4 linked regions of the Lonchura striata genome follow. The protein of the gene in region 1 interacts with the protein of each later gene in a pairwise test. Links are inferred from orthologs where the notes say so. Each region holds a gene or a part of one and is shown in the gene's direction. Other genes may lie near its edges.

Evidence for each region.
Region 2: the proteins of ABI3 (region 1) and HOMER1 interact in binary tests that used the Homo sapiens proteins (3 or more experiments, as listed by UniProt). The two-hybrid records come from large-scale screens. The link is inferred for Lonchura striata from reciprocal best matches to the Homo sapiens genes ABI3 and HOMER1.
Region 3: the proteins of ABI3 (region 1) and KIAA0408 interact in binary tests that used the Homo sapiens proteins (3 or more experiments, as listed by UniProt). The two-hybrid records come from large-scale screens. The link is inferred for Lonchura striata from reciprocal best matches to the Homo sapiens genes ABI3 and KIAA0408.
Region 4: the proteins of ABI3 (region 1) and EVL interact in binary tests that used the Homo sapiens proteins (3 or more experiments, as listed by UniProt). The link is inferred for Lonchura striata from reciprocal best matches to the Homo sapiens genes ABI3 and EVL.

The regions. Positions count from the first base shown.
Region 1 is NC_134627.1:7,978,489-7,986,151, reverse strand, and holds the start of ABI3 (ABI gene family member 3), read left to right. Parts: upstream 1-4,656; 5' UTR 4,657-4,686; coding exon 4,687-4,803; intron 4,804-6,153; coding exon 6,154-6,321; intron 6,322-6,800; coding exon 6,801-6,977; intron 6,978-7,663. Other genes in the region: GNGT2 (guanine nucleotide-binding protein G(I)/G(S)/G(O) subunit gamma-T2), read right to left, coding at 617-700. UniProt on the Homo sapiens protein: May inhibit tumor metastasis. In vitro, reduces cell motility.
Region 2 is NC_134642.1:12,141,603-12,148,839, forward strand, and holds the start of HOMER1 (homer protein homolog 1), read left to right. Parts: upstream 1-4,220; 5' UTR 4,221-4,370; coding exon 4,371-4,375; intron 4,376-7,237. UniProt on the Homo sapiens protein: Postsynaptic density scaffolding protein. Binds and cross-links cytoplasmic regions of GRM1, GRM5, ITPR1, DNM3, RYR1, RYR2, SHANK1 and SHANK3.
Region 3 is NC_134605.1:61,603,813-61,611,439, forward strand, and holds the start of KIAA0408 (uncharacterized protein KIAA0408 homolog), read left to right. Parts: upstream 1-4,621; 5' UTR 4,622-4,735; intron 4,736-7,627. Other genes in the region: MTCL3 (microtubule cross-linking factor 3), read left to right, coding at 1,230-1,298, 1,925-3,100, 4,399-4,509.
Region 4 is NC_134608.1:12,187,718-12,195,063, reverse strand, and holds the start of EVL (ena/VASP-like protein), read left to right. Parts: upstream 1-4,328; 5' UTR 4,329-4,523; coding exon 4,524-4,546; intron 4,547-7,346. UniProt on the Homo sapiens protein: Ena/VASP proteins are actin-associated proteins involved in a range of processes dependent on cytoskeleton remodeling and cell polarity such as axon guidance and lamellipodial and filopodial dynamics in migrating cells.

The DNA.
Region 1 (7,663 bases):
ATCCAGCCCAGGGCCACAATGGGCAAGTGGGACACGAGCCTGGGCTGGGGTATCCCAAAACCGCCCCTGGGGTGTCCCAAATGATCCCTGCGGAGTCCCAAAACCGCCCCTGTGGTGTGCCAGAACCATCCCTGGGGCATCCCAAAACCGCCCCTGGGGTGTCCCAAATGATCCCTGCGGAGTCCCAAAACCACCCCTGGGATTTGCCAGAGCATTCCAAATATTCCCGGGGTTGTCCCAGGGCATCCCAGAGCTTTAGGGGCAGCGTGGGTGCTCCTGCCTGGCTTTGGGGGTGGATTTCAGGGCCGGGGTTCTTTTCCTCCCCTCGGGTGGATTTTGGGCCTGGGGTTCTTTTCCTCCCCTCGGGTAGATTTTGGGCCTGGGGTTCTGTTCCTCCCCTCGGGTGGATTTTGGGCCTGGGGTTCTTTTCCTCCCCTCGGGTGGATTTTGGGCCTGGGGTTCTTCTCCTCCCCTCGGGTGGATTTCGGGGGCCGGGGTTCTTCTCCTCCCCTCGGGTGGATTTTGGGCCTGGGGTTCTTCTCCTCCCCTCGGGTGGATTTTGGGCCTGGGGTTCTTCTCCTCCCCTCCTTTTCCCTCCCTGCAGTGAGGGACTCACCATCTGCCTCTCGTTCTTCACCTCCTTCTTCAGCTGGTCCAGCTCCATCTTCAGCAGCTCCTTCTCGGTCATGTCCTGAGCCATCGTGCCCTGGAACTGAGGCATTATTTGGGTCATTGATTTTTGGGATCACTGCTGTGTGCCAGTGGATTGTGACCCCCCAGCAGCCCTGACCACTGCCTAGGAACATCCTCCCAGCTTTTTGAAGGAATAAAACATCTCAGCTTTCATTCCCCCAGCTTTTCCCAGCACGGCTCCTCCATCGCCCTGAGCTCCGTTATTTGCGCTGCCCTGAGAGTTTTTGGCGTGTGGAGGCTGGGGAAACCCAAATCTTTTTTCCCAAAAAAAAGAACGCGCCCAGACATCCCTGGGGACACCGGCAGCCCCGGGAGCTCCCAGAAGCGGGGGAAGCGGCTCCCGGTGCCCCGGGGCACTCACCGGGGCGCCGGGGCCGCTCAGAGCCCCATGGAGGCAGCGCAGAGGCTGCGGGCCGGCGCTGCCCCCGAGCAGCAGATGTCTTTGCTGCTAAGCTGATAATGGGCTCAGCAGCCTAAGCCGGTCAGGTGTTGGGAATTAGCCCCAAAGCCCGGCCTAATCGGGCCGGGGAGGGGCCGGGCCGGGGAGGGCCGGGGAGGGCCGGGCAGGGAGGGCGGGGGGGTCCGGCCGGGAGACCCCGGGAGACCCCGGGAGACCCCGGGAGACCCCGGCCCTGCACTGGGCAGTGTCCGAGCCCGGGGAGTGTCCGAGCCTGGGCAGTGTCCGAGCCCGGGGAGTGGCCGAGCGTGGGGAGTGTCCGAGCCCGGGGAGTGTCCGAGCCCGGGGAGTGTCCGAGCCCGGGGAGTGTCCGAGCCTGGGCAGTGTCCGAGCCCGGGGAGTGGCCGAGCCTGGGCAGTGTCCGAGCCTGGGCAGTGTCCGAGCCCGGGGAGTGTCCGAGCCCGGGGAGTGGCCGAGCCCGGGCAGTGTCCGAGCCCGGGGAGTGGCCGAGCCCGGGGAGTGTCCGAGCCCGGGCGGTGTCCGAGCCCGGGGAGTGTCCGAGCCCGGGGAGTGGCCGAGCCCGGGGAGTGTCCGAGCCCGGGGAGTGGCCGAGCCCGGGCAGTGTCCGAGCCCGGGGAGTGTCCGAGCCCGGGGAGTGTCCGAGCCCGGGCAGTGTCCGAGCCCGGGCAGTGTCCGAGCCCGGGGAGTGTCCGAGCCTGAACAGTGTCCGAGCCCGGGGAGTGTCCGAGCCTGGGCGGTGTCCGAGCCCGGGGAGTGGCCGAGCCTGGGGAGTGTCCGAGCCCGGGGAGTGTCCGAGCCCGGGGAGTGTCCGAGCCTGAACAGTGTCCGAGCCTGAACAGTGGCCGAGCCTGGGGAGTGGCCGAGCCTGTGGCAGGTCTGGATCCTGCCCGGAGTGGCGGGAGTGACCACTGGAAGTGACCCCAGGAGTGGCTACTGGGAGTGACCATGGGAATGAACCCTGGGAATGATCCCTGGGAAAGATCACTGGGAGTGACCCCAGGAGTGCCCCCTGGGAGTGACCCCTGGGAGTGACCCCTGGAGTGACCCCTGGAGTGACCCCTGGGAGAGATTCCTGGGAGTGACTGTTGGGAGTGACCCCTGGAACTGACCCCAGCACTGACCCCAGCACTGACCCCACCACTGACCCCGGTACTGACCCCAGCACTGACCCCCGGGAGTCCCGGCTGCTTCCCCCGGGTCGGGAGGGGTCCCGGGCCGAGGGGGCTCGGAGCGGTGCCGGGGCTCGGGGAGCGGTGCCGGGGCTCGGGGAGCGGTGCCGGGGCTCGGGGAGCGGTACCGGGGCACGGGGAGCGGTGCCGGGGCCGCTCGGAGCGGTACCGGGGCTCGGGGAGCGGTGCCGGGGCACGGGGAGCGGTGCCGGGGCTCGGGGAGCAGTGCCGGGGCTCGGGGAGCGGTGCCGGGGCACGGGGAGCGGTGCCGGGGCTCGGGGAGCGGTGCCGGGGCTCGGGGAGCGGTGCCGGGGCCGCTCGGAGCGGTGCCGGGGCCGCTCGGAGCGGTACCGGGGCAACCCGGAGCGGTACCGGGGCTCGGGGAGCGGTGCCGGGGCTCGGGGAGCGGTGCCGGGGCTCGGGGAGCGGTGCCGGGGCAACCCGGAGCGGTACCGGGGCTCGGGGAGAGGTGCCGGGGCTCGGGGAGCGGTGCCGGGGCTCGGGGAGCGGTGCCGGGGCTCGGGGAGCGGTACCGGGGCTCGGAGCGGTACCGGGGCCGCTCGGAGCGGTGCCGGGGCTCGGGGAGCGGTGCCGGGGCTCGGGGAGCGGTGCCGGGGCTCGGGGAGCGGTACCGGGGCACGGGGAGCGGTGCCGGGGCTCGGGGAGCGGTGCCGGGGCTCGGGGAGCGGTGCCGGGGCTCGGGGAGCGGTGCCGGGGCTCGGGGAGCGGTGCCGGGGCAGCTCGGTGCGGCACCGGGGCCGCTCGGAGCGGTGCCGGGACACGAGGAGCAGGAATTCCATCATTTCCCTCGGGATGGGCTCAGGAAGCGCCCGGCCCAGCGCTGGGGACACGGCCCGGGAGGCTCCCGGGGAGCACCTGGGGGAGGAGCAGGAGCAGAGGAGAGGTGGAGGGGCTCTCCGAGCCCCGGGGAAGTGGGAATTTCCTGCGGGGATGTGAAACGTCCCGAGCGAAGGACGCGCTGTCGCCAGCCATGGGGGCCGGGCACCTCGGGGGTCACCGGAGCGCCGGGAGAGGCTGTCCCGGGAGGGGCACCGGGAGCGTCCCGGCATCCAGGAACATTCCCTGCCCTTCCTTTCCCTTCCCTCTGCCCTCACCGGGCGGGCGAGGCGCGCAGCCAAGGGCAGCGAGAGCTCCTGAGAGCTCCGAGCAGTCCTGGATGTGCCCCAGCCCCGGGAGGGCGGCGCTGGCTCCTGGCTGGTGGGCACAGGTGGCAGGGCCGGGGCCGGGATGGTGTTAGGGTCGGGGTCCTTTGGGGGTCGGGATCCTTCTGGGGTCGGGGTCCTTTTGAGGTCTGGATCCCTCTGGGGTCAGGATCCTTCTGGGGTCGGGATCCTTTTGGGGTCTGGATCCCTCTGGGGTCGGGATCCTTCTGGGGTCGGGATCCTTTTGGGGTCTGGATCCCTCTGGGATCTGGGTCCTTCTGGGGTCAGGGTCCTTCTGAGGTTGGGATTCTTCTGAAGTCAGGATCCTTTTGGGGTCTGGATTCTTCTGGGATCAGGATCCTTCTGAAGTCGGGATCCTTTTGGAGTCTGGATCCTTCTGAAGTCGGGATCCTTTTGGGGTCTGGATCTTTTTGGGGTCTGGGTCCTTTTGGGGTCTGGATCCTTCTGGGGTCAGGATCCTTTTGGGATCAGGATCCCTCTGGGATCAGGATCCTTTTGGGGTCAGGATCCTTTTGGGATCAGGATTCCTCTGGGATCAGGATCCTTTTGGGGTCTGGATCCTTTTGGGATCAGGATTCCTCTGGGATCAGGATCCCTCTGGGGTCAGGATCCTTTTGGGTTCTGGATCCTTCTGGGGTCAGGATCCTTTTGGGGTCTGGATCCTTTTGGAGTCTGGATCCTTCTGGGATCTGGATCCTTCTGGGGTCAGGGTCCTTCTGAGGTTGGGATCCTTCTGAAGTCGGGATCCTTTTGGAGTCTGGATTCTTCTGGGATCAGGATCCTTCTGAAGTCGGGATCCTTTTGGGGTCTGTGTCCTTTTGGGGTCTGGGTCCTTTTGGGGTCTGGATCCTTCTGGGGTCAGGATCCTTTTGGGATCAGGATCCCTCTGGGATCAGGATCCCTCTGGGGTCAGGATCCTTTTGGGATCAGGATCCCTCTGGGATCAGGATCCTTTAGGGGCCGGCATCCCTCTGGTGTCGGGACCCTTTCGGGGTCACTCCCGCCCTGCAGCCCCGGTTCCCGGTGCCTCTCCGCCCTCCCCGCTGCCGTCCCCGCCGCGCCCCGGGGCTGCTGTCCCCACGGCCGCGGCCCCGCTCGTCCCCGGCGGGGCGGGGTGTCCCGGGGGCACGGGGACACCGCGGCGCCCGCGGGCCCTGCGTCAGCGCCGGCAGCGGCTTCAAAAGGCGGCCCCGGGGAGGAAGCGGCAGCGGAGCCCGGCGCGATGTCGGAGCTGGAGCGGCTGCGGCTGAGCGACATCCCCGCGGGCCGGCAGCGGCTGCGGGAGCAGCACGGCAACCTGCTGCGGGTGGCCGACTACTGCCACAGCAACTACCTGCAGGTCAGCGCCGCGCCGGGCCGCGCCGGGCCGGGCCGGGGCGATGCCAGCCCCGCGGGGCGGCGGCTGGAGCTGTGCCCCGGGAGCCCGAGCATCCCCGCCGGCTCCCGGCCCGGCCGCCCTGCGCTGCTTGCCCGTGCCTCGGGCTGGCCTCTGCTCCCCAGCAGCTCTCGCAGAGGTCTGGGTGGAGGGAGGGATCTCCAGGGCTCGGTGGAGCCTTGGCACAGGGCTGGGGAGGTGGCACAGCGTGTCACAGGGGCTGGGAGGTGGCACCTGGCAGGGCCTGCGCACGCAGGGCGAGCGTGAAGCTCTGCTGGTGCATCCCTCCTCATCCTCATCCTCCTCCTCATCCTCATCCTCCTCCCTCTCTGGCCCATGAGGGTCGAGTGCAGGAGCTCAGGCGATGAAGTCAGAAGGAAAATGCCCGCTCGGGCCCTCCCTGCCGGGCAGGGGTCCCGGTGTGCCCACCAGGGCCGTGGCCGTGGCTCCTCCCGGCCCCGAGGCGGCTCCCAAGGGCCCGGAGCCAGCGGGGCAGAACCGGAGGGAAATGAGCTGAGCTATTCCGAGAGCTGAGAGCCCCGGCACGGCCGAAGAGAGCCCCGGTTCGGCTGACAGAGCCCCGGTTCGGCTGAGAGCCCCGGTTCGGCTGACAGAGCCCCGGTTCGGCTGAGAGCCCCGAGAGCCCCGGTTCTGCTGAGAGCCCCGGTTCGGCTGACAGAGCCCCGGTTCGGCTGAGAGCCCCGGTTCGGCTGAGAGCCCCGAGAGCCCCGGTTCGGCTGAGAGCCCCGAGAGCCCCGGCTCGGCTGACAGAGCCCCGGTTCGGCTGAGAGCCCCGGTTCGGCTGAGAGCCCCGGCTGAGAGCCCCGGTTCGGCTGAGAGCCCCGGTTCGGCTGACAGAGCCCCGGTTCGGCTGAGAGCCCCGGCTCGGCTGAGAGCCCCGAGAGCCCCGGTTCGGCTGAGAGCCCCGGTTCGGCTGACAGAGCCCCGGTTCGGCTGACAGAGCTCCGGTTCGGCTGAGAGCCCCGAGAGCCCCGGTTCGGCTGACAGAGCCCCGGTTCGGCTGAGAGCCCCGGTTCGGCTGAGAGCCCCGAGAGCCCCGCTCGGCTGCTGCCACCCCCAGCTGTCCCGTGGCTCCTCTGGCTGTCCCCAGGGGTGGCCGGAGGCTGAGCCGGGCACTCGGTGCCCTCCGGCCGTGCCGGGGCATCATTCCCGGCAGGAACCCCGGGTTACCCCGGGCTGCTCCCCGCAGCCGGGGCTCAGCGTGAGGAGGCATTTGGAAAGCAGAAGCAAACTCCTCCGGCGGCGGCGCCGGGCGGGGAGGGCTCGTCCCACGGCCGGCCGTGTCCCCCGCAGGCCGGCGACAAGAGGAAGGCGCTGGAGCAGACGATGGCTCTGAGCACGCAGTCCCTGGCCAGCGTCGCCTACCAGGTCCGCAGCCTGGCCGGCGCCTTCCTGCGCCTGCTGGAGCTGCAGGCGGCCCAGCTGCGCCGGCTGGAGGCCGACATCGCCGGCGTGGCACAGGTGGGACCGGCCGGGGGCTGCGAGCGCCGGGGGAGCCACCTCCGGGACGGGCAGGGGTTGGTGCCGGGGCGGTTTTCCCATCCCAAATCCCAAACCGCCCCCGAGTCTCCGAGCGGGAGCTCAGAGCTCGGAGCATCGTCCTGCTGCAGAGCCCCGCGGCCACCCGGGCTCCTCCCGGCGCTGGGGCCGCCCCGAGCCCCGAGCCCCGAGCCTGTCCGGCCGCGGGAGGGGACAGGACCCTGCGGCCCCGGGGGTGGCTGAGCCCCACGTCCCCCTCTTGGGGCAGCGCCCCCCATTCCCGGCTTTGGGACGGGTCGGCCCCGCTGCGGTGACATCGGGGCTGTGCCGGGGCAATCCCGACCCCCATCCCCGCCCTGCCTCCCCCCCGGGCAGGGACACGGGGCTGGCAGGGACGGTGGCACCCGGGGCAGGGGGGGACAGCCTGGGGTGGCATTTTGGGGCCGGTGTCACCTCGGCAGAGCGTGGACGTGCACCAGGAGAAGGTGTCGCGCCGCGGGATCGGCGCGCTGACCGTCGCCACGAGGTTCCTGAGCTGCCAGAAGGTCGTGGCTCCCCCAAACCCCCCCGTGCTGGAGCCCTATTACAGGAAACCCCTCAACTTCAGCGTGCTGGACGGCATCGGCCACGGGGTCAAGGTCAGCACCGGGGGTCCCACAGGGGGCTTGGGTGGCGCTTCTCTGTCCCCGGTGTCCCCGGTGTCCCCAGCACCCCCTGAGGGGCTCACAGGTGGCTCAGGTGCCTCCTCCACGGGGCAGTGGGCTCTGTCCGTGCCCGCTCAGCTCTGGGGCACCCCACAGAGCCTTTCCCAGCTGGGCTTTGGGAGCCTCAGAGCCCCATGGAGCCTTGCCCAGCTCTGAAAGGTTGTCCACAGAAGGGTTTTGGAGGCCTCTCAGCCCCACGGATCCTCCCCCACTGAGGAAAACCCCACAGGAGGGCTTTGGAAGCCTTGCAGCTCCTTTGATCCTCCCCCACTCCAGAAGGCACCCACGGGATGGGTTTTTGGAGCCCCACGGATCCTCCCCACTGCAGAATCCCCCACGGGAGGGTTCAGAGGCCCCCAGCCCCACGGATCCTCCCCACTGCAGAAATCCCCCACAGAAGGGTTCACACGGGAGGTTCAGAAGCCTCCAGCCCCACGGATCCTCCCCACTGCAGAATCCCCCACAGAAGGGTTCACACGGGAGGTTCAGAGCCCTCCCAGCCCCACGGATCCTCCCCACTGCAGAAATCCCCCACAGAAGGGTTCACACGGGAGGTTCAGAGGCCCCCAGCCCCACGGATCCTCCCCACACCAGAAATCCCCCACGGGAGGGTTCACACG
Region 2 (7,237 bases), on another chromosome or scaffold:
TCTTCCAGGACTTTGAGCAGTCAGCTCATGTTGATTCATAGCAGGCTTGAGATTCAGACAGCAAAGCCATCTGGTTTTTTTTTTCCTTCTACAGGTATCCCACTGAGAGACTCAAAGTAGCATTCCTTTCAGAGATACCAGTAACTGCTGCCAAGTTTACAGGTGTTGTCCCATCTGGTTGGCCATCCTGGGCAAGGGTGTCAGAACAGGGTTTGGCAGCTCAATAGCTGGCTACGATATACACACCAGGAGTATGCTACTTCAATTCTGCAAAATAACACTCTTTCCCCTGCACCACCCTGTGCTTTGCCTTGCCTGAAGCCATCCATCTCTTATTTGATTGTGGCATTACCTGGTTTTTTTGTGAAGGAACAGCCACTGAGCTGCTGATGATTTCCAGGAATGCTCAAGACTGCCTCCATCAAAGTTCTCTAGACAAAGAAGTGTTCTAAAATACCAGGGGAAAAACCCCAAAGCAATTAACTTAGAGCTAAAAGTCTTGTCATCAGTGTTAAAATTCTCTATTTTGTGTCACTTCAGTCTTCAAGATGAGGTGATTGTGTATTTCTCATGTTAATATCTATGATTAATTACTCTGCTTGCTTACTTTGTATCTGTATGTACAGTTCTGCCTTAGCTGACATAGATCACCATGCTTTTGTATCATATATTACTATCATATATTAATTTGGGGAATGGCAAGACAGAAAAGGGATTTCAGTGAGGTTGGCAAGTATAAAGAGAGGCTTTCCTCCACAAGACAAATAATGTTAACTAGATAAAACCAACCTGAACACTAATCAAGACTGTAAAAGGGTGTAATTGAGACAAAGCTTAAATCTTAGCGAAACCTGTCAGAACTGGAGGCAATGTAACAATAAATATGGAAGAGAAGTAATCAATTAGGTGGAATTTCTGTACTTAAATGTAATAATAAATAAAAATTGTTTAAATGAAGAATTAAGAATGAAAAAAAAATCAGATTTACTTGAAATAAATCTTTGTCTCTACGGTTCTGGTCCTCTACCCAGGATCTTATCCATCCCAGTACTCATATTTTATTACTTATAAAAGGGCATTAAATATACAGCCCATTTATTTAACGAGTAAATAAAGACATTATTGAGATCCCATGTTTCTTTGTCCACAATTCTGTTCACACCTCTGATTCTCAAGTGAGCACACTATTCTTCACCCCAGGGTTCAGTGTGTATTTGTCTATTTTTATATTTTTCTCTTTTATCTTAATTCTTGGGGATTTCTGGGTTTGTACCCATGCTGTAGAATAGCATACTTCATGCACGACAAATACATGAACAAGTTGAAAGGCAGAGACAGATAGAATCATCTTTGTGATATCTAAACAAAATACTGTGAACATAATGAAATACTAAGGCGTTTGCATTAGTGTGTGAGCTTGAGCTGAAAGAACAAAATATAGACTCCTAACTACTGAATATAGACTCCTAACTACTTGACATCAGTGAATACGTACATATAAGCTACTTATTGATTATGCTTGCCTAGTTGGCATTAATTTTGATCTTTTTCACTCTAATCATATAGAAAAAGGAATAGTTGTGGATCTCCATCTTCCCTCCCCACCCCAACACCAGAGTACCTCCCTTTTATGATAGAAGTTTACACACACTATTTGATTTTTAGTGGAAAATACATAGAACTTCATATTTTAGAGGTAGTAGGTGAAGCCCAACCAGAGCAATTGCAGTCCAGTGAAGTAATGCAGCCTTATCATAACCATACAGGTTCTGAGCATTGCACACAACAAACTTTAGACTGTTGTCACTCAGACTAAACTTTTTTTAGCTCAGTGCCTTTACAGTAGCTTACGAGGTGGTGTGTGGGAAATGAGAAATGGACAACTGAGGAAGCTGTTCTTTTCTGCCTTGTGAGGCAGTATGCCTTGCTGCTACTCCCCTAGTAATGATTCATGCTGGGTTTCCTATGACTGTTTGTGATTGGAGGAGGTTTGCCTTGATATTTAATTTACCATGCTTACTTTTCCCATAGCTGATTACTTTTAGAGGTCAAAATGTTGAAACAAGAGCCTGTAAAGCATGCATCTGTAAATTAAAATAAGTTTTGGAAATATGCAGCCTGACTCTAGGAAGATCAGATTGTTAGGTTAATGCTTTATCTGTCTTTTATTCCAGCCTCTTAATAGGATATACTCGGTCACAGGTAATAGAGGTTCTATGAGAGGACAAGTAACTCTTTGTTAAAAACAACAGCTTTAACATATTTGGTTTTATCATGATTTACAATTCTGTAACACACACTGGTAATATTCTAGGCTTGTTCAATTTTTATGTGGAGATTGGTATATAGTATAGTATCAATATTTTCCTCTTATGCTCATTGTAGTTTAATATGCCTCTGGTAGCTACAACCTCACTTAAGCAGAAAATACCATCAAAATACTGAGATACCATGAAAATACTCCTAGCAAGGAGCATGTTCCACCTGGGGTATCCCAATGCCACTGGCAGTGTACTGGAGTAGTTAAACCTAATGTTTACAAATTGAGGGAATCTCAGGCAGTTAATGGAAGTATTTGCAGAATTTTAGATGAGGTATATCCCTGCAAGATAGTACATGATGCTGGAACTTGGGCAACTGTGATGGATTAGAAGCTTACTGTTTGCATGGCACAGCTGAAGAACTCAGCCAGATATTATAGGTCCTGTCCAGCTTACTTTCTTTTCGATAGTACTAGCGTGGATGTGCGGGAATGTACGTTTTTGGGGGGATAATTTTAGAACGGCTGCCGTGTTTCTTCCCCGTTCTTCCGGCAACGCTGTCTGTGTTAAGTGTCTGCAGGGTGCCTGCAGAGCACGGGGACGCGGGCCTGTGTTTTGGCAAGGCGGAGGGCCGGGCAGTTGCAGCAGCCACGCTCCGGAGAGGGCTGCGCACCGCCTTCGCCCGTGACTCCGTGACACCGGCTCTCCCCGCGAGCCGCTGGGCGCGGCGTTGCCGTGGAGACGGCGCCGCAGGGGCCGGGGGCGGGAGGAGGCGGCCCGGCGCCGCCAGCGCCCCGAGCCCTCCCCGCTCCGCTCTCCCCCCGCCGCCGTTCCCTATTATAGAAGAGCTTCCGGCGGCGTGGACCGCTCTGACATCATCCTCCGCACCCGGGTGACGTCAGCGCCGGGAGCGGGGCGTGACGTCGGTGCGTAGGGGAGCGCGGTGACGTGTTCTATTTAAAGCTCCCCGGGCGGAGGATGGAGGCAGAGCGGGCAGGTGCCGCCGCGGGCAGGAGCGCGCTGGCTGCGTGCGGCGCGGGGCTGTAGGGCAGGGCGCGGCTCCTCTCCGCTCTTCTCGTCCCTCGCTTTCCCTTCTCTTGCGTTCCCGTTCCCCGGGAAGGAGGAGCGGGACGGAGGTGCGCCCTCCGCGCGGCGGCTGCGCCTGCCCGCCGCGAGGGGACGAGCGGGCGGTGGCGGAGGTGTGAGGCGGAGGCGGGGGATACGAGCAGGCACAGGCAGCGGCTCGGTGGCGCCGGAGCAGCCAGGCACCGCCTGAGGCGGCCATCGCTCCCTCCCTCCGTCCCACCGGCGGGGCTCAGCCTGCGGCCCCGCCGCAGAACAGCGCGGGCTCGACGGCGGCAGCCCCTCCCGCCGCCCGCTGTCAGTGACCGATCCGCCGCGCCCCAGGACGATGCCCGCCCGCTTGCTGCAGAAGAAGGCGTGACGGCGAGGAGCGGGCCCGCCGCCGCGGGAAGGAGGAGCGGTGCCCCGCATCTCCGCAGCCGGGGGCGGGCGGGCGGATCGGGGGAACGCGGTGCCCCGGTGCCCGCGGGCGACGCGCGGCCGCAGGTCGTCGGTAGCGGCCTCTCGCCGGGAGTCCGATGCCAGCGCCGGTGCCACGGCTCGCTCTGCCTTCTCGGGAAAATGCATCCGTGCCCGCCACGCTGCTGGCGGCGGTGCTAGGGGGAGCGTCGGCGTGGAGCTCTGTGCGCACCGCCTGCCCCATCCCGCTCCGCCTCTGAGGCACACGGAGCCCTCCGCGGCCGCGCACGTCCCGGCGAGAAGCGCCGCAGCCGCCGCCAGTCCCTCGCGAAGAAGGCGAGCGCCTCCCCGTTCGCCTGCAGGAGGGGACTCGTCCGCCCCCGAAGCCATCGCTGCCGCCCGCCCGGGGCCCGGAGCCGCTGCCTGCGGGCGCCCGGCGGGGCCGGTGGCCATGGGAGCCCGGCCCGCGGGGGGCGCTCCCTAGGGCGCGGGCGGCCCTGCTCGGCCCCCGGCAGCTGCGGTGAGCTCAGAGCAGCGGCCCCGCCGCCACGGGGCTGCAGAGCTGCCAGCGCGGCGAGGAGCGCCCCGGGGACGCGGCACCACCGGTGCCAGGCGCTGCCGGCCGCCATGGGGTAAGGATGTCGCGGGGGCCGCCGGGCTGGTGCCGGGGCGGGGGGTGGGAGCGGCCGCCCGCGGAGCTGTGGGCGCTGCTGGATGCGCACGGAGGCGAGGGGTCTCGCTGGCGGGGGTGCGCCAGCAGCAGGAATCCTGCTGCAGTCGGTGCCGTGCATCAGCCCGGCGAGGGGAGAGAGAGCCCTGCGATCCGAGAGGGGCGCACCGCGAGCTGCAGAGGTTTGTCTCCGCCGTAGCCACATCGGAATTCTGGAAGAGCCGTCTCGGCTCCCAGTTCCTCACCGTGAGGACCTTTCCCGGGTTATTAGGCGATGTTCAGTCCTGAGAACGAGTGCTTTAAACTCAGTACGCTAGGGTGAAATTCCAGAACAGGGAACGTTGACTCTTCTGGAGTCTTCATAGAATATCGAACTACATGGGAATTTCTCAATAAATTGAAGGCTCTGAGGAAGTCGGCTTTACAGCAGGTTCCCTAGTAAACTAGGGAATCCACTTGAGATCTTAAGGAAATGAGAAGGAATAAAATCTGTAAAATTAGTCAGTTCTCATACAAATTAGTAGATAAAAATGTGACCTAGATACCTATGAAAAGTTTCCACAGTCATATCCTTAGGAATTTGTATAGTGATTTGAAAAAATAATCCAGACTGCCAGGCTTGTCTGATAGTGGAATGGAAACTCATCCATGTTCCAAAGCAACAGAAATCTGGTATGATCTGGCAAACTGCAAGGTGGAGGCAGTCTACAAAAGTTACAAATCATGTCCTTTGTATATTGGTCACTTAATAATTTGGATGTGAAATTGGCATATTACTGTGGGAGTTAGAGATGCCGCTTCAAGCTGTTTAGGACATTTGAATTCTTCAATTTATTAACTTTCTTGCATGTGTGGTGATAACAGCTGCATCCTTGTCTCTATCACTGGGGGGTCACAGGTCAAGATGTGGGAAGGAATGACTCTTTGCTCCTTAGGCTTGTTTTTATTTTTCTGTTGTCTTCCCTTCCATTAAAAAAATTCAAACGGAATAAACCCAGACTTGCAGCTGTCTACATATCCAAGAAAGTGATGTTTCTGCCAAAAGTCTAAATGATACAATCATTTTTTGGAATATATACTTAAAATTGCTAATCACACATAGGATTATATAAAATTAAAATAACGGAAACATTCTCATTGATTTAAAATGGATACTAATGTTTGTAGATATTTGGGTTAAGCATATCATATTACAAATCCACTGAACTGTTGAAGAGGAGCAAACATTTTGTCTCCAGAACTCCAGCTCTCCTAGTGTTTTAGTGTAATAGTTTCTTAATAAACACTACAAATCTCCATCTGTAGAGAGCTAAAAAATCTTAAAAACCACAGTTGTTGGTACAATGACTTGAGTAGTATCTTGGCAAATTAAAGTAAATATGCTAGCAAATATTTCAAAGATATTATATACAGTATGCTTTGGGGTATTGCAATATAGAATTCCCTTGCACACCACCTTCTAACAAGGAGGACAAACCCTGAAATGTAGGAATGTGTTACTGATAAGCCTGAATCTCTCTAAATTTGGCCAGGGCCAGCACCTACTTAGTGCAACTATGGTTAAGTATCAGACATCTCTTACTGTTCAGAGCAGAGGCCTTGATTTGATAGCTGTTTTGAATCAATTTCTAAATGCAGGTACCCATGGATTTCAGAGTATTTCTACACCAAGATTCACTGGGCTTTTCATTCAACAGTTCTCTTTAGACCTTAGTAGAGCTCCTATGCTCTACTAAGGTCTAAAAATTGAGCATTCTAGAAGCAAGTTGCAAAATCATTGGTAATTTAATGTACCTGAGTCACATGATGGTCTGTGTATTATATTCAGTATTTAATGAGTACTGGTATGCTGTGTGAGCTTGTAAACTGATCTTGTAGTACCTGGCTGGTGGAGAGCTCACCTATTTCAATAGTTAGAACACAGAAAACTTGGGGGAGGGAAGTTGGCTTACCAAAGCAGCAGGGGCTTTCTTAGTCTAATTACATATAATGAAGAATTCACTGTTCTGCTGGCGTAGTTCAGACTGTTCAACACGTGCAATACCATCAGGCAAGCCAGGTAATTATGCATTGGGTGTGTAGTGGAAACCAACCGGTGAGTAACTGGCTTTGGGCCAGTGCTGCTATTAAACATTTTTTTGGGAAACTTGAAACTAGAGAAACGTAGAGTAGTTCAGGACACTTTCTAATTGCTGTATCCTGTATGTCTGTGCGTGTCTTTTGTCTCACAGAAGGTAAGTGTATCGAGCCCTGTGGATTATATAGGCCAGACACACAGGATGTCCTTTCTTGTTTCTCTCTCTGCCAGTCTGTCACTTCTTCCAGTTCCTCATTCCTGTTGCATAAAAACAAATTCTTATCAATAGTTACTGTTGAGTCATATAACCATTGTGGACAACCTTTTGTTGGATTGACCACATACAATATAGTATTGTTTAATAGAGAAACATGGGTTTTGTGTTCTATCTTAGTTGATAACATGTATTCATATGTTCATTGCCAGTATTGCACAGTCTTCTTTGAGCAGAAATCTGATTGCATTAAAAATCCTCAAATAACAGCTCTGAAGCATAGTCAGGATTTATATTGGCAACTTAGGCTGTTGTATGCATTGAGCAGGTAAGTATTGTGTTTCAAGTTGGAAACATTGCTACATTTTTCTTGTTGCTACTGCTTGTACTTTGATCTGTGAGCAGCGGAAGTAGAGACAGTGATGCAGTTGTTGTTTAGGCTGGAATGAATACATTTCTTTACAGATACAATGGGGAAGACGCACAGCTGTGAAATCTGTTAGGGATGCAAAAATTGATGTCCTATTAAACAG
Region 3 (7,627 bases), on another chromosome or scaffold:
ATGGCTTTTAGATGGAGATGGATTCTCCCCCGGCTGGTGCAGGGAAGGGTATGTTTCTCACAGGATGTTTCTACCAGAGCACAGTCTCAAAAGGAGATGGTGTTGATTATCACTGTCCTGCCTTGGGACCTACAGTTTACCTGGAGAACACAAAAACTGGGAATGGCTGCAAGTGGGGTGTTATGTATGAACATTCTCTCATTTGTGTGCCTCTCTCCTGCTGTTTTGTTGATGATCAGTATTGAATGTTGCCAGTGGGATGGTGGCAGCTTTTTTCCACTGCTGCTGCTTTTCCATAACAAAGTTTCTGCTGTCAGCAGCTACAAGATTTTTGCTGGATATACTAGTTGGCTTCAATCTCATCCTGCTCTGAAAGCAGGAGTTTCTTTTCTACTCTCTTGGGCTATATAGCTGATATTAGGACACCAAAGAATCCCACTTATATGGTGTTTGTGTTTCTGTTCTTGAGCTGGTATGATTTGTTTCTCTTTACAATTTTGTAGTCCAAGCCGTTTTAAATGGCATTTACTTGATTATGATCTGAAAACAGAACAAGCCTAGTGACCAGAGCTATGTGTGAGTTTGTTCCTAGTGTACACTTAGGGAGGTGTGACTGCAGTACACTGCAAGCTTGAAGCCTGAGGGTGGGACACAGAGAAAGGTGTGCTTGTAGATGCACACTGGAGTCAGCTACAGATCTCAGTGACACAGTTTTATGCAGCTGTCCAAGACTAAGGCTTTTTTAGAGTGCCCTGGCCCCACCAGGGTTAATATCAAATGGGGGAGCTGGGTTTCATTGCTTGTCTCAGCTTTTCCACCTGTAAGTTATCACTTGGGATGCTAATTTTCTTACCACTCTTGTCATATGTTAAACATTTTTAATGCACTAGTCTTAAAATGTGTTGAATAAAAAAGGTAACAGGCTGATTAAACTAAAACTTTATTTGTGTGACATTGCTGTTTCATTTTTGGGCACTAGTCTTAAAATGTGTTGAACAAAAAATGTAACAGGCTGATTAAACTAAAACCTTATTTGTGTGCCATTGCTGTTTCATTTTTGGGCTATGGCATCTTTCCTCTGTATTTGGTGTCTCAAAAATTATAAGAAATTAATTCCTTTCTAGTTGCATTTGATTTGCTATATTTTAAAATGAATGACATACAAATTATATATATCTTTAATATACCTTTAGAAAAATTTAGTGCATGTCCTTTTGTTGTAATTGCAGCAATCACTGAAGAGGAGAGGAAGCAAAGACCTACCAAAAGAAAAAAAGTCACAACAGACACCAACAGAGGTATGTTGCAAGTACCTGTAGCCTTGATTCCTATGTGGAGACTTCAGGGAACTATGGAAATGGGGTACATGGTTTACATATTTGCACTTGGCTTGCTTTATGCTTTGCCGTTTGTTTTCCTGTATGCTGTGAAATGGAAGAGCTTGTACCCCAGATCTGCAGTCAGACAGCACTAATCTCAAAGACCATCTAAACAAACTTGATGATGCAACAGAATGTACCAGCTTTCACCTACTCTGTATTTTTAGGCAAAGTAAATGGCAGAAACAGTGAAACAAGATTTATAGGCTCTATTTGTGTTGACTTCAGGATTTTTGAACACTGTAGTCTGATAATGTTGCAAGCATAGAAAATATAAGGTTTTTTGCAAGCCCCCCTTTTCCCATCCCCCAAAGTACTTCTGGGAACTGTGCAAATTTTAGTCACAAGTAAAATAGTATTTTCCCCTCTTTTAATTTATTGATGAGTGAAAAAATATTGTAGGAAAATATCATAGTATCTAAAGCCATGTACCTGTGATTGTTAATCACAATTAATTACAATTGTAGTTGTAAGTTAAGGCGATCCACTGGAGGTCTTCTGTTTGACTTCAAGTTTCTTCAAATACTCCTTTTTTTTTCCCTAAGGATGACAATGAAGACCTGAAATGCCAGCTACAGTTTGTCAAAGAAGAAGCAGCCTTGATGAGGAAGAAAATGGCTAAAATTGATAAAGAAAAAGACAGATTTGAACATGAGCTGCAAAAATACAGATCGTTTTATGGGGATTTGGACAGTCCTTTGCCAAAAGGTGAAGCAGGTGGGCCCCCTACCACAAGAGAAGCTGAGCTCAAGCTTCGATTGAGGCTTGTGGAGGAGGAAGCTAACATTCTTGGGAGGAAAATAGTGGAACTAGAAGTAGAAAATAGAGGACTGAAAGCAGAGCTTGATGATTTAAGAGGAGATGATTTCTCAGGGACCACTAACCCGCTCCTGGGAGAGCAGAATGAATCCCTGTCAGAATTACGACAGCATTTGCAGCTAGTAGAAGATGAAACAGAATTGCTGAGGAGAAATGTAGCTGATTTAGAGGAACAAAACAAACGCATAACAGCTGAGCTGAACAAATACAAGTACAAGTCTGGGGCCCATGAGAGCTCTAGGCACCACGATAATGCCAAGACAGAAGCATTACAGGAGGAGCTAAAAGCTGCACGAATGCAAATCAACGAGCTGAGTGGCAAAGTCATGCAGCTCCAGTATGAGAACAGAGTCCTAATGTCCAACATGCAGCGCTACGACTTAGCCTCTCATCTGGGTATCCGTGGCAGCCCTAGAGACAGCGATGCGGAAAGTGATGCAGGAAAAAAGGAGAGTGATGATGATTCCCGCCCCCCTCACCGCAAAAGGGAAGGGCCCATTGGGGGGGAAAGTGACTCCGAAGAGGTGCGCAACATTCGGTGCCTGACACCCACAAGGTCTTTTTATCCAACACCGTCTGGGTGGCAGAAAAGCTTCACTGACAGGCAGCAGATGAAGGACATTCGCTCTGAAGCGGAGCGGCTGGGCAAGACAATAGATCGCTTAATTTCCGACACGAGCACCATCATCACAGAGGCGAGGATTTATGTGGCTAATGGGGACCTCTTTGGACTGATGGATGAGGAAGATGATGGCAGCAGAATACGTGAGCACGAGCTTCTGTACCGGATCAATGCGCAGATGAAGGCCTTCAGGAAAGAGCTCCAGGCTTTCATCGACAGACTTGAAGTTCCAAAGTCTTCAGACGATCGAAGTGCAGATGAACCTTTGTCAGTGAGTCAGGTAGACTTTTACTTATTACGGCCTACAGGTAAAAAGGCTCTGCCAAGCAAATTAAACCTCAAATTCAATCTATGGCACAAAAAGAAAATTCTTTATTCTAGGCAGTGGACAAAAAACACTGTTTCTTATATTACTTGAAATCCTCATTTGGCCATATGGAAACATATTCTACCAACAGAGTTTGTGAACAGTGAATAAATCTGATCAGAAAATCAAAATTATGCTCTAGGAGGTAGACCATTTTACTCCTTTCTGGCTTTGCAATTGCATTTGATAGAGTTGGGCCTTCATTGCCATTAAAAGCAGTGCAAACAATATTTTTGGTACATATGAACATGATTCATAAATGGACATTATTGTTTTCTTAGTGGATGGGTTCCTATTAAATAAATAAAAGGAAAAATTTATTAATTTAAAGCAAGAGGAAATACTAAATTTCAAAAACTGTAGAGAATATGGCAAACCACAGATTAAAAGAAACCATGCAAATCTACCTTATGGAGTCACAGAGCCACACAGTAATGTGAATATTGTAATTGATGTAATAGATTGCATCTTGTTGAAGGCCTGTTAATCATTGCTTGCATGCAGCAGTAGCAAGCATCTTTGTTGTGGTTTGTTTTTGCACAGAATTTTTTCAGAGAGGTTTTGGGGAGCAAACTCCTTGCTGACTCAAGATCTTTTGCCATGAAAAATGAAAATTACCTACCCTTATCTTATCATGCAATCCTATTGTTGGCATATCTTGTTATTGCTAATGAAGTTATCCAATGTTTTGTCTCTTGCTGTGTTAATTTACTTTGTACTGTCTTGCTAATTTACAGTCAAAGTAGTTGCCAGGTGAAGCTGAAAGCTGTTCTTATTCCTATGCTGACTAATTAGTCTTTTGTTTCCTTGTATCAGAAAGTCACAGACGCAGTGAGTTTAAAGCTAATCAATTACTATACATGTATTGCATGAAATCAAACAGAGATGGCATTTAGCATGCTCACTTTCTGATTTAGCAGTAGTTCTGAGCTTGTGGAGCTCCCATTAGCTTAAAGGCAGAGCACTGCATGGACCTACACAAATTTAAATCAAACTAATTAGTATTTTCTCTAAAAAAATAACAACAATTGAACACTTAACAGTTGGACATTTCAGGGCTTGACCACGCAGAACTCCTACTGAAGTAAATGGGAGATGGGCACTTGGTCCCTCCACAAGCATAGTCTGATTCACTATTTTTTTTGTTGAAACTTTGGACTTGCTATTCCATTAATTGACTGTTCTCTTTGTCTTTGTATTTACTTTCCCAGATGTTCCAGCCTATCATTTTACTTATTCTCATCCTTGTATTATTTTCATCCCTTTCATACACAACAATATTTAAACTTGTCTTTCTTTTTACACTGTTTTTTGTACTGTAAGTCATTCATCATTTACTGTTCATTGTAGTGTTATTTTCAGTTTGTTTATTTTGTCCACCCTCCAAGATAAGAAGTACAAGAGACATAGTTTCCGTAATAGCCACTGCTGTAAAAACACTGAAGACTACTTGTTTGCCAAAACCAAAGCCAAACCAAAAGAACTGCAGAAAAACATACCAAAAAGTCACCGAGTTGAATAGGAAACCTTCTCACTGTGGTATTCCAGGTAAGCAAACCGAAAATTGAATTTTTCAGTTTGTGTGGTTTTATAATTTTTGAATAAAAATTTCCTGAGGACTGGAACGAATTTAACATTCATTAATTTGCACCAAATCAGAAACAAAAGAGAAAAATGCGGAGTGGGTATGAAGACTCTTGTTACTTTTCTCACTCCTAGAAAAAGAATTTGTATTCTAGCCACATATGAATGGTAAAGCTACATTCTGTGTGTATTTTGCAGTTGTATATCAGAGCTTGTATGTATATTTTGCATAATTGTGATGATAATGTTTTTCAGCACTGTATTATGTACATTAGGCCCCAATCAAAATAGTTGGTATGTAGAGCACTATATCTGGAACAGTGGCCAGGAGCTGGAGCCTCTGTGAATGAGATACATGAGGAAAAGGTATCAGAGTAGCTGAGGAGTCTTCTGAGAGATATAGGTTGGCTGCATTCTCTCTGTGCTCTAGAAAAACAGCCATGCTGCAGTCTGACCTGGACTGATGGGAATGGTGTAAGTTACCTTGGCTGATGTCGAGTTTATCCGGTAGCATTTCCCAGTCTGTGGTCACCATGGCTCTATGTTCTCTCCCCAGATTTCAGCAGAAGTTTTGAATGGACATGGTAACTCTTGTTTTTGCTGAGTGACCCCTATCTAACTGTGCCATTGGTAGCCAGTGACCATAGTGAGGGAAGCTTGTGTACATGGGTGTGCATCAATGGTCACTGAATATTCCTTTCTTGCCTGGGAGAGGCTGAAATAAGAGTACAGGTGACTAATTTCTTTCTTTCACACTTACATAGCAGTTCCTACAAGCAGTAGATCTCCCACTATGAAAACCTCATCTGAAATGCCTGATGGAGCTCATTTTCTGTTTTATTCAACCCATGCTGAAACCACCAAGTTCCACAAATATGAATTCTTGAAATGTGAACAAGTATGTGTATTAATGACACTTCTTTTTCTACAGTTTCCATGGTGAATAATGTAGTAGTAAAGAGTGGTAATAAATAAAGCAGCTGTTTTTCTAGCTAGTGGTAAGCATCCCCTTTGGTTTATCATGTTAGCTCTCTGTTCATTCATTCCCCAGTGAGAACAGTTCATCTCCATGCCTAGGTTGTGCTCTGCTACTTTAAATAGTTGAAACATCATTTTGAGGGAAAATCCTCAGAGAGCGACAAGAGATGGGGCAATAAAATTTTTGTTATGTGAATGAAAAAAATAGTAAAAATATTCATTATTAAAAAATACAGTATTTTTCTCTTAGTCTAGCTTTTCCTCAATATACTCTACAAGTGCAGTAACCTTGATCAGATAAATCACTCAATTCCTTGATTTAATCCAAATACTTATTCCTATGAGGGGGTGTTGTCATCATTATCCATTTTATAGTTAGTGAGATGTCTGGAGGAAAATAGATAGCGTTGACTGGTTTTCTAGTAAGGGATAAAGCCAGGCCCAAAGTAATTCTGAGGAGCTTCTAAGATGTTCTAATTTATGCAGTTACATAAAATTAAGTTCCACATATTAAAAACTATTATGGCAAGATATGATCAAGCCATAATTCACAGTGAATTTCTGTAACTGGAAAAGGCCTTTTGTTTTTCAGCAGCTTCTGGAAATACTTGGAGTTTTTTCCCCCATGGATTTGCAATTTGGACATTAAATATACAACAATTTGAGCCTTAAACTTGTCATACCAAATCGTAGCACAAGACTGACTTTTTCAGTTTCTTTCTGTTTTAGTATCTCCTGTGGGGAAAAAAAATAATTTGTGTTTTCTTAAATGTTAAGAGGAAAAATCAGACTTAATCTATGATCTGAAGTTTTGGACTTCTAGGTTTTAACCCACTCTTGATTATACCTTTCTTGGTGTTGTATGTAATAAAAATGAGTAGGGAAGCTTTGATTTACAGTGAATGCATCAGTAACAGTAATACTCTAAAGTAGTAATACACTGAATTCATACATTGAATAAATCTTGAAAAATAATTGGGAAAGATTTGTTTCTTTCTCAGAAATCAGAAAAGGTAAGAATGACTTACTGAGATGAGAGGTGGAGATAATCTCCACACAGCACTGGCAATTACAACCCCATTGATTTCTCACTGTATTTTTTCTTTCATAAAACGTGGAGCTTTCTATCAGGCATCAACAAAACAAAATCAAAGCTGAGACCTTTTGGGACATTTAGGGAGCTATTGCACATGCAGCAGTCTGAAATTAAAGCACACTAAAGCATGCAAAATTATTTTAGAAGCTCCACACAGTCTTTGAATCTCTCATGAGCAGGGAGAATGGTGAGAAGCCTCACAGAGAAATCTCAGTGAGAAATTAGATGTGTTTTCCTTGTTCTTTTGCATTCAGGTTGAAGGGAGTGATTTCAGCTGCTGATCTGTTTCATGCCAGATATTTCACAACTTTAAAAGATGCTGAGAAAGCTAATAGAATGAGTATGGACATTTATCTATAGCCAAAAGATAAGATCTAGCCAATGAAATAAGTGTTCCATGTCTTGCTAAATTGAAATATCTTGATATTATGAAATCTAGTAATTATGCTTGCCAAGAAAGGAAGCAAGTTCTCCCCACTCAGTAACTGGTGGCCTGGTGGGTGAAGAGCATGTCACAGATGAGTGAGCAAATGCAGCTGAACACATCAGCATCCTCTAGCAGGAGTGCATTAGAGTCAGGCAGGGCAGAGACAGCCACAACACTGCTGATTCACTGATCTGCCTGCTGCACAGTTTGGAGTTCTGAAGACAAATAGTGAGAAGAATACAGATTTTGTTTGCATATGGGAAGGAGCTGGATATGCCAGGTTACCTATCAGTTGAAATCTCATTTAGCAGATTCACTGTTCACATTTTGGAATATTCTAGTGAAATATAAATGT
Region 4 (7,346 bases), on another chromosome or scaffold:
ATCAGGAATCTCAAACCCTGGATTTGAAAAGCATGAAGCATGCTTGGGCCAAAGTTGAGAGGGAAAAATTTTATTTTTTTCAATATTCATGGGCTGTGATAATTCCAAGATGTATAAATGAGGTAGGATTTTTTTGGTGAAGGTTGACATCAGAAAATCAAGCTTTTATGGTCAATCTGAAAACCTGAGAGTGAAAGAAGAAGCCTGAAGTATGTTGGATTTTCCTTGTGCATCAAAATTCACATTGTATTTTAATGCAACATATAATAGAAATACCATTGATAAAAGAAGGGGGAAAAAAAGTTCATTCTTGCCCCACCCATATTCCTCTTTAACAGCTGAAGTTTTGAGTCAATACTCCAATACTGAACACATCCTTGTTCTGTAAACTTAAGGGCACTGCAATTATTTTTACAATTTCTCCAGTACCTGAACAAACTAAGGTAGCCACTCCTTTTCTGTTTCAATAAACATTTAAAATCTTATTTTTTTAAGCTCAGGAAAGATGTTTGAATTCAGAGACAATCCTGTTGAAAGGAGATTTTTGAGTATATTCTGGGATGCTGCCTGTGATTGCTACATTTTCCTCTGTGCAGTAATTTTGGAGATGCAGTGAATGAACACTCATTAGATATGCTCTTGTTGGCTCATTTCCCTTCTTTTTGTTTTCTTCCTCATGAATTGAAGTGAATGCTGAATTTTTCAGCACAGTTGCAGGGTTTTTTTTAGTGTGGTCTGAATATTACTTCAGCATAATGGTAATGCAGGCTTAGTGACAGAAGTCCACTGTGTTAGTGGCTTTCTTCCTTTCTTGAGCAAGGGAATAAGTAGTTATTTCATTAAAATGTCTGTCTGTGATCAGATAATGTCACCAAGCATCTGGCAAAGGCTTTGGTGGAATTTCAGGTCAGGAGGACAAATACTGATACATTGATATGCTAAATAACAATAATGCAAGATGTTACACTTGAGGATATTGGGCTCTTAGCAGAGTAGCAGCATGAGGCCCTTGGATGGCAGTGAAATGCCAGATAAAACAAGAAATTTCACCATATCCTCTGCCTTGTTCTGGTTTGTCATACTTCCAGGCTTTTTTTGCATCCTTTGCTTTTTAGACAAGCTTTCACCAAGGATAACCACTTCTATTATCGTCTCTCTTGTTTGTTAGAGCCCAACATTAAAATTGCAAAGTGTTTCCCAAAACCTTCTGCTTGTCTTCAGTGGGAGGGACACTCAATGTCACATCTTTTTGGCCTCTGATCAGAAGGTGGGGTCTGGGTCCCACAGTTCTCATTATATAAATTATCCCACTCAATCTTTAGTAAATTCTTCTTTCATGTGACATAATTTCAGTTTCTGGTAAAGAGAGGGACATTTGTCATCAAATGTCTGGACTGGTTATACTGCCAGGAAGGGAATAAACAGCTTCTTGTGAAAAATGTCATTGCTGATTGTGGTTTCTGACATAATTTCTGTCTGCTTCTCAAGATCTTCAGTCTGGTTTATGGCACAGGAAGTTACAGCCTTGGTTAAAAGTTATAAGGAAGTATTACAGCCTTGCATTTATTTATGTGGCCTAATTTGGCCATTGCATGTGTTCATGTGACTTTCTGAAGCCCCTGTGTGTTCTGTTTGGTAAATTTTCATGCTGAGGCTCATTCATGTCTACAGGAGGACATGATGGTCTCAGATCTTACTATTGAATATGGGAATCCTAGTAATTAATGAATCAGAATTGAGACTATTGGTTGTTTCACATGACAGAAGTCCTGCTGTTTCTGTGTGTAATGCTGTCAGCTGTTGTGAAAGTGCTAGCCAAGAAAAAAAAAAGTTAAAATGTTATCCCAATGAAACCTTTCAACAGCTGACCTCTACTGTATATGAAAACTTTGTGGAGGATGTTTGCTTTTCTAGTCCTTCACAGTGAACCCACTGATGACAGAAGCCTTGACTTGAACAGTTAACTATTTCATTGCATTGTGGCTGTTGAGAAACTGCAGAAATTGGAAGACTCAATAGTGATTCTGTCAAGTTTGTTTCAAGAAGAATGCTTAGGGGAAGCAGTATGTTTGCTCTTAATTCTGTAGAATGGTTTTATTTTAAATAAACACCATAAAAAAGAAGCATGTTTTAAGTGAAAACTAGCCCTTTTCTACTTGATTCAAGCTAGAGAAAGATTGTGGTGAGCGAGAAAAGAGAAGCTCAGAATTCTGTCCTTCCTCCATGAGGGATGTTGGCTAGCTCTGAAGGTATAAAACTATTTCCTACAAGGTCAGGAGCAGAAAAATTGCTTGCAAGGGGTACCTCTCCCGTGCCCAGCTGCTTGGGTGCTGTATACAGTGAGCATACTTGTGGTGAAGTCAGCCTAAATATGGCAGGCGGCTTCTTCTGACGGCTGCGTTGTTCTTTTCTCTGCCAATTTTAATCTTTTATTAGGCTGTAGCCAGAATCACCTACCTTGCAGTCCTTCTCTTGCTGGATGCTTGTGGAAGAATTAATTTCTGTCAGATGGTGTGACTGCATGTGTTTTAGTGTTCCTACGGCGTGCCTTTATTGTCACTTAACACTATCACATTTGTTTAAAGGAAATAAAATGAAACCCAAGGTCACTACTACATTAAAATCACTATGTCTCAAATTAATGTGACTTTTTTTTTTTTTGTTTGTTTGTTTCCAGTGCTGGGGTTTTTTTGCCATGAGTGCCTTTTCCTTTCATCCCAGCCCTTTTTGCCTGTATTTCTCAGAGCCATGAGGTCAGATGCCACAGTTACCATGGCCTGGACCCAATCACTGTGTCTAGGAGATGTGGCAGTCTGTACCCTGTGGATGCTTTTCCAGTCTCCAAATCCCACAGCTCAGTGGGACAGCCATTGCCTTAGAGCATGTAAATCTCAGGAGCTGTAGTTTGGTTTGGCTATTTCAGACTCCAGCCAAAATCCTCCTTGTGTTTCCTTGTGCTAGAAACCAGCCCTAGCAGTAAAAGAGGCAAGTCAAGGAGGGGGGCAGCCCCAGAGGTAGCTTTGAATTTGCTGTCTCCCTGCGACTTTCCCATGCAGCATATTCTCCCACAGCCTCGTTCTCTCTTCTTCCCAGGGCTGGGGTTGATTTCCCAGGATTAGAATCTCCCTCATTTCCAGGAGCCCTCACCTTTCACCTTCTCTCCAGCCAGCAGGCAGTGCTGGGTGGCCGCAGGCTGTGGTGGCTGATGCTGAGGCTGGCGCAGCGTGCCCGGCCCCGGGGTTCAACCTCCCATCCCGCCGCTGACCTGGCCGCCGGGCAGAGCCCCTGCAGCCTCACAGCTAACACCCGTGCAGTCCCTCAGCAAACGGGCGATGGGGTGCGACTCCCGCATGTCCAGAATTCCCACGGGATTGCTGCGGGGGTGGAGAGCTCTGGCTGCCGCCGTCGGGGTGCGTTCCCCGGCGCGGTGCGCAGTGTTCGCTCCAGCTCCGCACGCCCGGCTGCCGGGCCGGTGTTTCCGAGGCGCGGCCGTGCCGTGCCTGGCCGAGCCGCTCCGGAGCGCGGCCGGGGCTCCCCCGAGCCCGGCGTGCCCCGTGCCTCCCGCTGCCCCGGGCCTGGCTTTTGGCGGCCGTGTCGCCGGGCTTGTCCCCGCGTGTCGCCCCCGGGGTGCGCAGCGGATGCTCTGCCCCCTGCGCTGGCTGCGCTGTTGCCATGGAGATTGCGTGCGCTGTTGCTAGGCAGCTGAAGCATCCTCGCCTGCACACCGCAATGCCACGAAATGCTCAACTTTCCTCATGCCCATCTCCCTTCTGTGATCTCGCAGATATGACTCCTTTGGCTCTTATCCCACTTCATTCACTTGCACTGCTGCGATTTCTTGGTGTTAACCCTGTAAACCCTAGAAAGCCCGCACGGCCCTGCAAATAGGGTTTATGGCAATGAGTTCAGGGCTGAAGGAGTTAAAGTGGTTGGGAATAGACTACAGAGGAAATGATTTCTAGCAGATAAACTACTTTAAATGTTCTGGCATTCATGGAAGGGGAGGTTTGTGGATGGAGTCTTTTGTTCCATCACTGATGGTTTAGATGAATAAAAACAGACTAAAATACCGCTACAAGGTAAGAAAATCAGCTTGAATGGGCCTAATTAATCTCTTCTGTTACGATATATATTTAGTTTTTTATTATCCTCTGCTTGTGCTTGTTGATTTTGATGTAGCATGTGAATGATAATTTAGCGATGAAGCCTGTCGTGTACCATATTTGACTTATTTGGCTTGAATAATAAAGATATCAGCCTGTATTCTTGGAGTATACTGCATTAATCAGACTTGCAGGAATGATCACATGGTACTCTATCGCCTTTTCCTGTTAGCTGCTGCTTGTCAGCAGCTGGCTGAGCTGTAGGCTGCAGGCCAGTATCTGCATACCCTTTCTCCTCAGAATATTCCAAATATACTGTCTCGTCATTATGCATTTTGCTGCAGTTTGACAAACTAAATGGTCCTCTGCACGTTAAGAAGATTATTTTAAATTTCAGAGCTTTTGTGTAGTTGCTAGGCCATGTATGCATTTGAAGAATTCAGGTAGGCTCTCTGTTTTATACATCAGTGTGCTTGGTTTTTGTTCTCACAAGGTTTTTGCTGTGTAATGTCAGTCAGCTCTACAGTTAGTTCGTCAATGTGCAGATATTTATTGTGTTTTAGAATCTCTACCCTGTGCATGGGGAGAAGTGCTTGAAGGGTTCGTTGCAGGTAACGGTAGCTTAACTGCATGATGAAGTGCAAAGCTGGGTAATTGATTATATCTTGCACAAATTTCATAGCCATGCAGCCAGAAGCAGCGAGTACAGGGTAGTTATAAATATAAACCAGAAACTGTTCTCTTTAAAAGGGTCTTTGCTATTTTTAGTCCTGGAGAATCTGACAGATGCTCCTCCAAGATAAAATACTGATGGTGATAGAGAAGAGAAAATTGATGCTTGGATTGTACATAGGATTATATTTTATATGCTGCTGCAGAGTATACATGTCTTTTTCATAACCTTGTAGCTGCAGAATTACTTATGAATTATATTTAAAATAAGAATATTGTTTAGTTTGATGGGGTTGGTTTGTAGCTTGCAAACATTTGAGCAACTGTGATTGCTAGAATATAAAATTAGCACTTTTTATTTGATATTGGTTCTGCTCGGTATTGCCTCTGCCCCCTCTCCTCCTCCATCCCCACCCCCAGTATAACTCCATCCTTATGCAAGTATTGAAGTCTATTAAAACCCCAACAGATATTTGAAGACATGAAACAGAATTTCTACACTCACTAACAGACAGTAATTTTCCTATGCAGTTTGGGACTTGAAAATTTCTGGTCAGTAGTTGTGGGGTGGGGAGTGTCTCACTTTTTGTAAAAATTTTTTTTGCTTAATGTGTTCAGTTGTTATAACTTGTGTAATGAAAATTGTCCAGATAAAATGGTGACAACATTGAAACAGCACTAGGCATCACATTGTGATACGTTTGTGTACTGTTATTATAATGCATCTTAAAATTAATCTTTCTTTTTGATTCAAAAAAATGGATTGTTTGACCAAGTATGTAACTAGAGGAGATGATGGATTCTCTTTCTAAACACAATGAGCATTCTTTATCAAAAACCTTAAAATGAAACTTTCTACCCTCAGATTAGATATTTTTAAGATTATTTCTGCCTTTTGTTAGGCAAATATATTGGCAATTTCCATTATTTTGTCACTTGCTGCTCAGTTCTGTTTTTGAGTGGTGGCAAAAGCGGCAAAAGCAGGTACAGGACACCCCCTCTCCCCAAAATGTTCTGATTCTAGCTGCAAGGGCTGAGGAGATCCAGGCTGACTGTGTATATTCCTGCTGCTGTGAAATGCAGCATGAATGCTGTCTGAGGGGAAAGATTTTACTAGAAGACTAGATAATGCTGTGTAACTGCTGTTGTCAGGGCTGTCAGGAGATGCTTGGAATCTTGACATTGCTGATTGTTGGCAGTAAATTAAGGTGAATTGTGCCCCAAACTTACTGTGAAACTTACTGTGCCCATGGAGTTGTTTGTATTTCTGCCAGTTCGTTGGGTCCTGTTCTTAACTGAGTGAAATTTTCAATAAATCTCCAATGAGAAAAAAAAAAAAAAAAAAAAAAAAAGGATGCTTTTAAAATTTTGCTTTTAAATTCTTAGCTGTCTTTCAGTGGCTTTCCTAGACATCTTGGGCTAGAAAGGCACCTACTTTTATGGCAGGAATGGTCAAATGCTGATTACACACCCATTAGGCTTATTAAATTATGTGTCATCCTCTCTTGGACTTGACTTGAAAATAGTATTAACATTTGATGTGCAGACTGCTAGACATTTTCTTTTAAGTGTTGCACTGGTAGGGCTGGTGTTTATGTATAGCAGCATTTAAATGGCATTTATTTTATTAGGAATTTCTGTGGTGTTTTGTTGAGGTTGCATCTTCATGTTGATGGGGTTTTTTTAATAGTATGATTATTCTCGTGCCTGTGGCTATTTTAGATTTTGATGGCATCAAAACAAATCTTGCAAGATAAAGATTTAAAAGATGTCTAGTTGAGCAGTGGGGTGGAAGCCTCCCTGCCAGGGGCTCCTGGAAGCAAAGTGGCTGTAGCAGCAGAGGGAACTCTTCTCTGGCCTAAGGCCCCCAGCTCCAGGGTTGCCCCACTCTCGTCCAAAGGTCCCCATCTTCCATGTGCACAAAACACAGGCTTGCACTCATCTCTCACCTTGGCCTTAACCTGAAGTGGATGCTCACGTGTGTGTTGGAGCAGCAGGGCTGTTCCATCCTCCAGTGCACCCACAGGCCTTGAGTACCCAGGTGTCCCCAGATGTGGGGAGCCCAGTGGTGCCTTCTTATGCAGACACAACCATGACATCTTTCTGTGTTACTCTGCTGGCTTTTTTCTGTCTCCACACTGGCTTTTCAAGACCTGCAGGACTCTCCAGATGGGTGGTGTGGGCTGTGGCACCCTGAGCCTATGCCAAGAGGCATCACTGCAGTCAGGCCACCCAAGTTCCCCTCTGACTTCATTTTGATGCAGCCATCTTCACTTCCCTGGTGAAATGGTGCCAAGTTATTTTTGTGAAGTGTTAAACAGCTGCTGGACCTCTCTGAAGAATTGTCTCACTTAAAGACTAGAAGTGACTCTGGTGTACTGTTTGTGAAAAACTTCGTAAAGCCCTTTGGGATGATATCTTTCCTATGTGGTTACTGGCTGGATGAAGAGAGACTTAAGCCTCTGACAAAACAGGGAGTAAATCCATAGAATAATCTTACAGCTTCTTGTATAGCCAAGCTTGGTTTATCTTCCTTTTGGAAAGAACCTAATATCCCCTGAAAAACTTTGC